Rhinolophus ferrumequinum: one gene and its partner. The protein of the gene in region 2 purifies or fractionates together with the protein of the main gene of each other region. This does not show direct contact. Links are inferred from orthologs where the notes say so. Each region holds a gene or a part of one and is shown on either strand. Other genes may lie near its edges.

Evidence for each region. Proteins that work in one complex are often made in the same cells at the same time.
Region 1: the proteins of MEPCE (region 2) and SNRPN purify together in Homo sapiens (affinity purification with mass spectrometry; 3 studies listed by BioGRID and IntAct, counting the BioPlex papers as one, with this or other methods). This does not show direct contact. The link is inferred for Rhinolophus ferrumequinum from reciprocal best matches to the Homo sapiens genes MEPCE and SNRPN.

What each region holds. Positions count from the first base shown.
Region 1 is NC_046311.1:14,877,534-14,881,279, forward strand, and holds the start of SNRPN (small nuclear ribonucleoprotein-associated protein N), read left to right. Parts: upstream 1-1,493; 5' UTR 1,494-1,494; coding exon of another isoform or gene 1,495-1,646; intron 1,647-2,388; coding exon of another isoform or gene 2,389-2,431; exon of another isoform or gene 2,432-2,753; intron 2,754-3,516; coding exon of another isoform or gene 3,517-3,537; exon of another isoform or gene 3,538-3,746.
Region 2 is NC_046290.1:90,767,522-90,771,267, forward strand, and holds the start of MEPCE (7SK snRNA methylphosphate capping enzyme), read left to right. Parts: upstream 1-1,335; 5' UTR 1,336-1,724; coding exon 1,725-3,386; intron 3,387-3,746. UniProt on the Homo sapiens protein: S-adenosyl-L-methionine-dependent methyltransferase that adds a methylphosphate cap at the 5'-end of 7SK snRNA (7SK RNA), leading to stabilize it.

The DNA.
Region 1 (3,746 bases), on a different chromosome or scaffold from region 2:
TGGAACTGCCAATGTCCGAGTGAAGACTGAATTCAGTGATTGGAGTGGGAAATGGAAAGGCGTGAGCAGTCATAGTGCCTGGAGTTAGTGCAGCCATGACAGGTCAAGGGGACCGTGACAGGTCAAGGAGACCGTCCCACCACAAGCTCACCTTCAGTTCAGATACCAGCTGTGAGCACCAGCGTTTCTAGACCCACCCTTCATGACAGCTGGATGCACTTGGTTTCCACAACTCCCTCGGGTTCCATACTTTGTTAGGGTGACTCAGAACTCAAGAAAGCACTGTGCTTGTGATGTTATTACAGAGGATACAAATCAGGGTGAGCCAGAGGAAGACTCCCAGGATGTGACCCTCCGCGTGTGATGGGTTGTCCACACATCAGTGTGTATGCAGAGAACTGGGTGTCTAGAGTTCTTCTCAGCGGTTCGTTACCTAGACATGATGGACAGGACATTTGTCACATACAGTTCCCAGCTCCCTTCCCTTCCAAGGAGGGCAGGCGCCCAGTCCCAACCCTCTAAGCCCCGCCTGGTCTTTGTGGCCTGGCCAGGTCCTGTCTCCTCGGATCTGGAGGAGGCGTGGTCTTAGCATTAACTCAGGTGTGAGCCAGAGGGCTTGCAGTGAATAACACAGGCTCTCCTAACACTGGCTAAATTTAGGGCTTTAAAGGATCTGGGAGCCATGGGCAAAGTCCAATCTAATTCTTTATTATATCACAGAATGTTACAAATGTTACTGAAAAAGTACGGAAAATAGTGGAAAACGTTTTATCACAGCCCCATTTCCAAATCTAATTGCTGTTGAATATTTTCATGTACATGCATATGTATGTGTGTTTATATAGGTATATGCTTAATCAACAAGGGCAGACTTGCTGGTGAATTATTTTTTTCGTGCCTGTCTTGTTTGTAACTTCATACATCTCTTCCTTATCCTGAGGTTCAGATTCACTGCCAGATTACTGATCCATAGGGATCTGCCAGATTACTGATCCATAGGGATCTGTCTTTGGAATTCCCTACTAATGGATGGTTGACATAGTTTGAGAACCTGAACCTGGATCCTGGAATTCGTTGTTTCAGCTAGTGACATCTCAGCAGGATGGGCTTGGAGGACAGCCTAATATCTCAATGGGAATGCCTCCACAAGGCCCAGCCCCCTCGCTTGGGGTTAAAGAACTTTCCAGATAGGAAGTTTCGAAAGTGAGTAATGGATATGGCACTAGTGATTTTTCCACAGGAAGAGCTCTTGGTTGGTTTCTTTTTGTGTTTTAACTTCCTTGGTAATAGTCCCCAAGTGGGTAAGTATCCCTCAGCTCCCTGTGTGCAGAGACAGGCCCCTGTTTCCTGATTTAGAATTTCTTCATAAGGTGATGTCATGCTGTCACCCTAAGTGAGGACCCCTTTAAATGTAAGGGTCTCTGTGTTTGCTTCCATATTGCTAGCCACATAGCAAATGTCTTTTCATGCATGTGTCCTGTCCTTTTGCTGTAGGTGTCAGCTGTACCCGAGGCGATCTCAGCAGCAGCAAGTACCTGTTGTGGATTTCCAGGCCGAACTGAGGCAGGCGTTCTTAGCCGAGACCCCAAGAGGTGGTTAAGTGGTCTTGGCACATCCCAGGTAGCGGACTCCAAGCGGAAATCCAGGTTAGAACTGATCAGTCCTGAGCAGGAGTAAAGAAATCCTTAGAGTAGGGTGTTTGGAGGTCACATCATTATCTGGGATGTGTTGGTAAAGGAATTTCCTTTCCTTAAAAGCTTCATGCAATAAGCAGATTGCAGAAAGTTAAAAAAAGTAAAAGCGAGACCTGACTGCTTCTCTCTGTACCTTCGTCATGTTTCTGTATTCCTTTCATTTCATTGTACTGCGTGCTTTTTAGGTAGTTCTATTCATACTTAACTTGTATTGATTTTCAAACTAACATTACATGGAAAATGAACTTCATTCTAAATGGCTGCTGAATATTCTGCTAATGAATGTTTTCTAACTCCCTTCTGTGAGAGACTTCATTTTTCTGCTGGTAGTTTGAATAAAGCTTCAGTGAATTGCTTTGCATAAAACAGGATTATTTCCTCATGCAGTTGTGCAAGTAAATTGAATCAAGGAATATGAGCTCAAGGTACATTTTCTAAATTGTATTACAAAAAGTATTATATTATTAATCAGTCTTCATTGCCTTGAAAAAATGGAGTGTCGGTTACAATACACTTTGACCTGCACTGGTTATTTTAATGATCTATCACTTGTGCCTACTGAATTATAAATATATATCACATTCATTAGCAAATAAGAAGCTAAATATTTTCCCATACTTACTTACTAATTATTCCTTTTTTGTTTTGTCTTTTTCTCACATTTTTTTTGTTTTCACCAATGTATTTGAATCAGCTGGCAATGTAATAAAGATATTTTTCATGACTTTTCAATGTGATGTAGATTTATTTGCAGTCTGTCTTTTCTTTTTATGTTGGTTGCTTACGTATTTAGGAAAAAGCTGTTCAGATTTTGATTCTGATTTAATACTTTGTTTTTCCTTTATGACTTTGTTTTTTTTTAAGATTTGTATGACCTCAATAAAAAGGGTTTAGTAGATACTTTTTAGAAACTGAAACAGAGAAGGATGGGGTTTATAGATGAGTTTTCTTTTAGATTTTCTTTATTTCTGTTTAAAATGTTATCCCTCAACTCAAATTAATTCGGCCTGTTTATGGGCACCATTTTTGAATTTTAAAGCAAAGGAGATTTTTTTTTTTTTTTTTTTTTGAGAAAAACCCTCTCCTGCGGAATTCCTTACCCAGCATTTTTCAGTGGTTGCCCGGACTTGATTGTAAGACAGTGGAATTGCTTTCAAACAATGGAATCTGATCATTATCCCTATCCCCAGAGTAAGGACAGTCTTACATGAGTAAGTGCACAGTTGTTTTTTTAACAGGAATTTTTTGGCTCCTCAGTGCAATTCACGTACTCTTTTAAGTTCCTAAATATGATATTTAAATCATGGAGTACAGTCTGCAAATAGGGCCATCTAATTTTCTGATGTTATATTTTACTGCAGTCTCAAAGTTTTATCTAAATGGTACTAGTTAATACTATTATTTTAGAGCGGGGTAGTAAAGATCTGACCCACTCACTGCCAGTTTTTGTAAATAAAGTTTTATTGGCAAACGGCCATGTCCATTTATTTGCATATGGCTGTATTGGCACTACAGTGGCAGGCAAGGCGTAAAATATTTATTATCTTACCTTTTAAAAGACAAAGTTAGCTGACCTGTCTTTAGAAAAGCTCATGTAAGGATGAAAACACCAGGGAGGAGCCAGTGGGGGAGTGAGGATGCTGCAGAAGGTGGGAGAAAGGGCTCAAGCAGGACTGTGTGTGAGGCAGCCATTACTGAGCAGGGAGTCAGTACGTTTCCGGGATGAGGGTCCCGTCTAAGAATCATGTCACGTCTGGTGTACATGCAGATGGGTGGTTTTAAAGACATTTTAACAATTGGTACATTTCCTTTTTCATTATAGAAATTGAAAGCATGTGAGTGACAGTCAAGAAAAATGGAAAAGTAAACCAGAAACTTCCTATACCCAGGTTTCAACCACAGCATGAGGTTGAATTTTATTTTGCCCACTTCTGTTTGTTTTGAAAATACACTAGTTGGAATCTTTTAAACTAATTTATTTTCTATTTATTTCACTTGAATGTATACCATGAATGTTCCTCATTTTATTTCACAGTCCTCATAATTTATAAT
Region 2 (3,746 bases):
TTCCGCCAGCTTTCACTAGAACGCCCTCTAAAACTACAAATCCCATAATCCTGGTCGGCCTCACCTTTTTTGCTTTTAAGGCTTCCGAAGCAGCGCCCGACGGTTGAGGAAGCACATCTTTCTTTTCCTAACTTTTCTCTCTCCCAGACTGCCTTTTCATTCCTCTTTTCGTTCCCTGATTCCTATTCTTCCTTTTAGTCTCCTTCGCACCCTTATTTTAATATTTTATTTGAAACTATACTTAGCCCCACTCTCGCCTCTACTGCTCTTCTCAGCCACAGGACCCGCACCCCCAAGCACTCTTGGCAGGGAGAACGGGCCACCTAACACCCAGTGGAAAGAGCGTCGAATAGCTTCCTCCCCATTGGCCGAGGCAGGGGCCCAAAGTAGACCAAAACCTCTTCCCCAGCCACACTCGTTTTTCTAGAAAGGGGCGCGAATCCGCAGCTTGCGCTCGGGAAGGACTGCTTGCGAGAGGATGGTTGTAGTGGGCAAAGGGTCGCAGTCCGCGGGCTAGGGACTCGTGCGCAGGCGTCGGGCGGTGGGCGGAGGCGTTGGGGTCGGGGCTGTGCGTGTGGAAACAGGGAAGGGCGTGGTGTCCCCAGGTGATCACGACTGGGGAAAGACGGAGCAGCGAGAGAACAACTCGGCCATTTCGAGGGAAGAGGAAGTTGGACAACATCGGATGTTTTAGTGCTGATTTTTTTTTCAGTTCAGCAGCGAATATTTTCCGGGGGGGTGAGTTAAAATGACCGATCGTACTTTACTGAGAACAGTTCATAGGAAGGCGGTTTGGACGCTCCGTTCCTCCCTTAACTTTTTCAGAATTCACTCCTCCGCTCCTCTGAAGCCTTTCTAAGTAGTAGGTGGGCAAAGGGAGGTGGGGGCAACCAGGTCATGAATAATTCATGAACCATCCTGTTCCTTCGCCACGCCCCGCCGAATCGTGCTCACGCAAGTTACGTGTACCAAACCTGAGGAAGCGACGTAACAGTCCCCGCCCCTAGTACGGAGGGCGGGGCGTCGTCTCCAGCACGTGCTGCATCTACCCGCGCAAGCCCAGAAGGTTGTGCGCAGGCGCTGCCCGCTAGGGGGAGGAAGGAGGCGGGGTAGGGAGGTTGTTGGGTTTAGAGCCGGGCGGAGGCCGCTGAGACTCATTCCTCAGGAACAAGGGTCGGGTGTCAAGGAGACCTTTTCACACCAGCTCCCCGTACCCCGCCTACGGTGGGTGGGATCGCGCGGCAGAGACAAAGGATATCAGTAGGGACGAACATAGCTGCGAAGGGAAGTAGGGTGTCAGTTTGGGGTGGTGGGCTCTTTGTGGGGGTTGAGGGGGGCTATATTTAAAGTCCCGGAGCCGTTAAGTTGGTTCGTACTCGGATGCGCGCGCGACCCGGGTGGTGGCAGAGTGCGCATGCGTGATTCTGGGACGAGAGGAACGCGCTCCAGCAGTGCGCGCTCGCGGCAAAGCGGTAGTGGTAGGGGAGGAAAGGGTCGGCGCACGCGCGGTTGATTCCTCGAGTTGTTCGGGTCTCGCGGGCATCTTGTGGTCTCGCGGGCGAGTGGGGCGCGCTTCGGGGGAGGTGCTTGGGCGCGAGACTAGGCGAGAAGAGCAGAGCTGCGCGCGCACTTAGGAGGGGGGGAAGGGAGCGGGGTCTAAGAAGGGGGGTTAAGCCCCCTGGCCCTCCTCCCCCCCCTCGACTGGGACGGAATAAGGGGAGGAAATGATCGAGATGGCGGCAGAGAAGGAGCCGTTTCTGGTGCCGGCCCCGCCACCGCCGCTCAAAGAGGAGTCTGGCGGAGGGGGCGGCCCCTCGGTGCAACCGCACCGAGAGGCTGCCTCCGGGGAGCTCCGAGGCAGGACGCAGCAGGGGCCGGGCCCGCGCGCACAGTCAGCCAGGGCCCCAGCTTCTGGGGCCGGCACGGAGAGCCCCGGTGCTACATCCACCCCTCGGGGAGGCCAGTCGCAGCAGCAAAGAGGGGGCGGCCCCCAGGCGCACGGGGAGGCCCGCTTGTCGGATCCCCACGGGCGAGCGGCTCCCCCGGACGTGGGGGAGGAGCGACGGGGAGGGGGCGGAACAGAACTGGGCCCCCCTGCCCCGCCCCGACCCCGTAATGGCTATCAACCCCACCGGCCCCCTGGGGGAGGTGGAGGCAAGAGGAGAAATAGCTGCAATGTAGGAGGTGGTGGAGGCTTCAAACATCCGGCCTTCAAGAGGCGCAGGCGGGTTAATTCGGACTGTGACTCTGTGTTACCCTCCAACTTCCTCCTGGGGGGCAATATCTTTGATCCACTGAACCTGAATAGTCTCCTGGATGAGGAAGTGAGCCGCGCACTCAATGCAGAGACCCCTAAGTCATCCCCACTTCCAGCCAAGGGGCGAGATCCAGTGGAGATTCTCATCCCCAAAGATATTACTGACCCGCTCAGTCTCAACACTTGCACTGATGAGGCCCAAGTAGTTCTTGCTTCACCACTCAAGACTGGTCGGAAACGGCATAGACACCGGGGACAGCACCACCAGCAGCAGCAGGCAACAACTGGAGGGAACGATAGCCACTCCTTGCTGCCCACAGCCCCCCTCACCCCCTCACTCCATGGGGAGGGCACCACACAGCAGCAGCAGCGGCACAGGGGCCAGAATCGGGATGCCCCCCAGCCCTATGAACTCAACACAGCCATCAACTGCAGGGATGAGGTCGTGTCTCCCCTTCCATCCGCCCTACAGGGTCCCTCAGGCTCCCTTTCAACCCCTCCAGCTGCCTCAGTTACCTCTGCACCCTCGTCTTCCTCCTCACGACATCGAAAACGTCGCAGGACTTCCAGCAAGTCAGAGGCAGGGGCTAGGGGTGGAGGCCAGGGTCCCAAGGAAAAGGGCCGAGGGAGTGGGGGAAGCCGCCACCACGTCCACCCACTACCTGCAACAGGCTTTAAAAAGCAACAGCGCAAGTTCCAGTATGGGAATTATTCCAAGTACTATGGGTACCGCAATCCTTCCTGTGAGGATGGGCGCCTTCGGGTGTTGAAGCCTGAGTGGTTTCGGGGTCGGGACGTCCTAGATCTGGGCTGCAATGTGGGCCATCTGACCCTGAGCATTGCCTGTAAATGGGGCCCATCCCGCATGGTGGGCCTAGATATCGATCCCCGGCTCATCCACTCGGCCCGCCAAAACATCCGACACTACCTGTCTGAGGAGCTGCGACTGCCACCCCAGCCTTCTGAGGGGGACCCAGGGGCAGAGAGTGAAGAAGGGACTACGACAGTCCAAAAGAGAAGCTGCTTCCCAGCCTCACTGACAGCCAGCAGGGGTCCCATCGCTGCACCCCAAGTGCCCTTGGATGGAGCAGACACATCAGTCTTCCCCAACAATGTTGTCTTCGTCACGGTAAGAGGGTGTTGGGTTAGGGGCCAGGTATGAAGAGATTAAATGGGAATGTGGCAGGGGAAGGTTGTGAACCAGAGGGATTTCTGTGCGTGCAGTTCTTGATAGGAAAACCAGATCCTTAAGAAAAGGGTCTGAATCTGCAACTGATTCATCTGGTTGTCTCTCCCTCTATAAACTAGAAAGATGAGAGCTACACCTGGGCTCTTTTCTCATGACAACTAGCCCCAAAAGGGGGTCTCCTTTTGCCCTGTTCCCAGCCTGAACTATAATCCAAACCAGTCCACCTTCCTTTGGAGGCTGCTGCTGCTAATTTGGTCTAGTTGAAAACTTGTCTTCCAACCTACTGAAGGTGCAATGAAG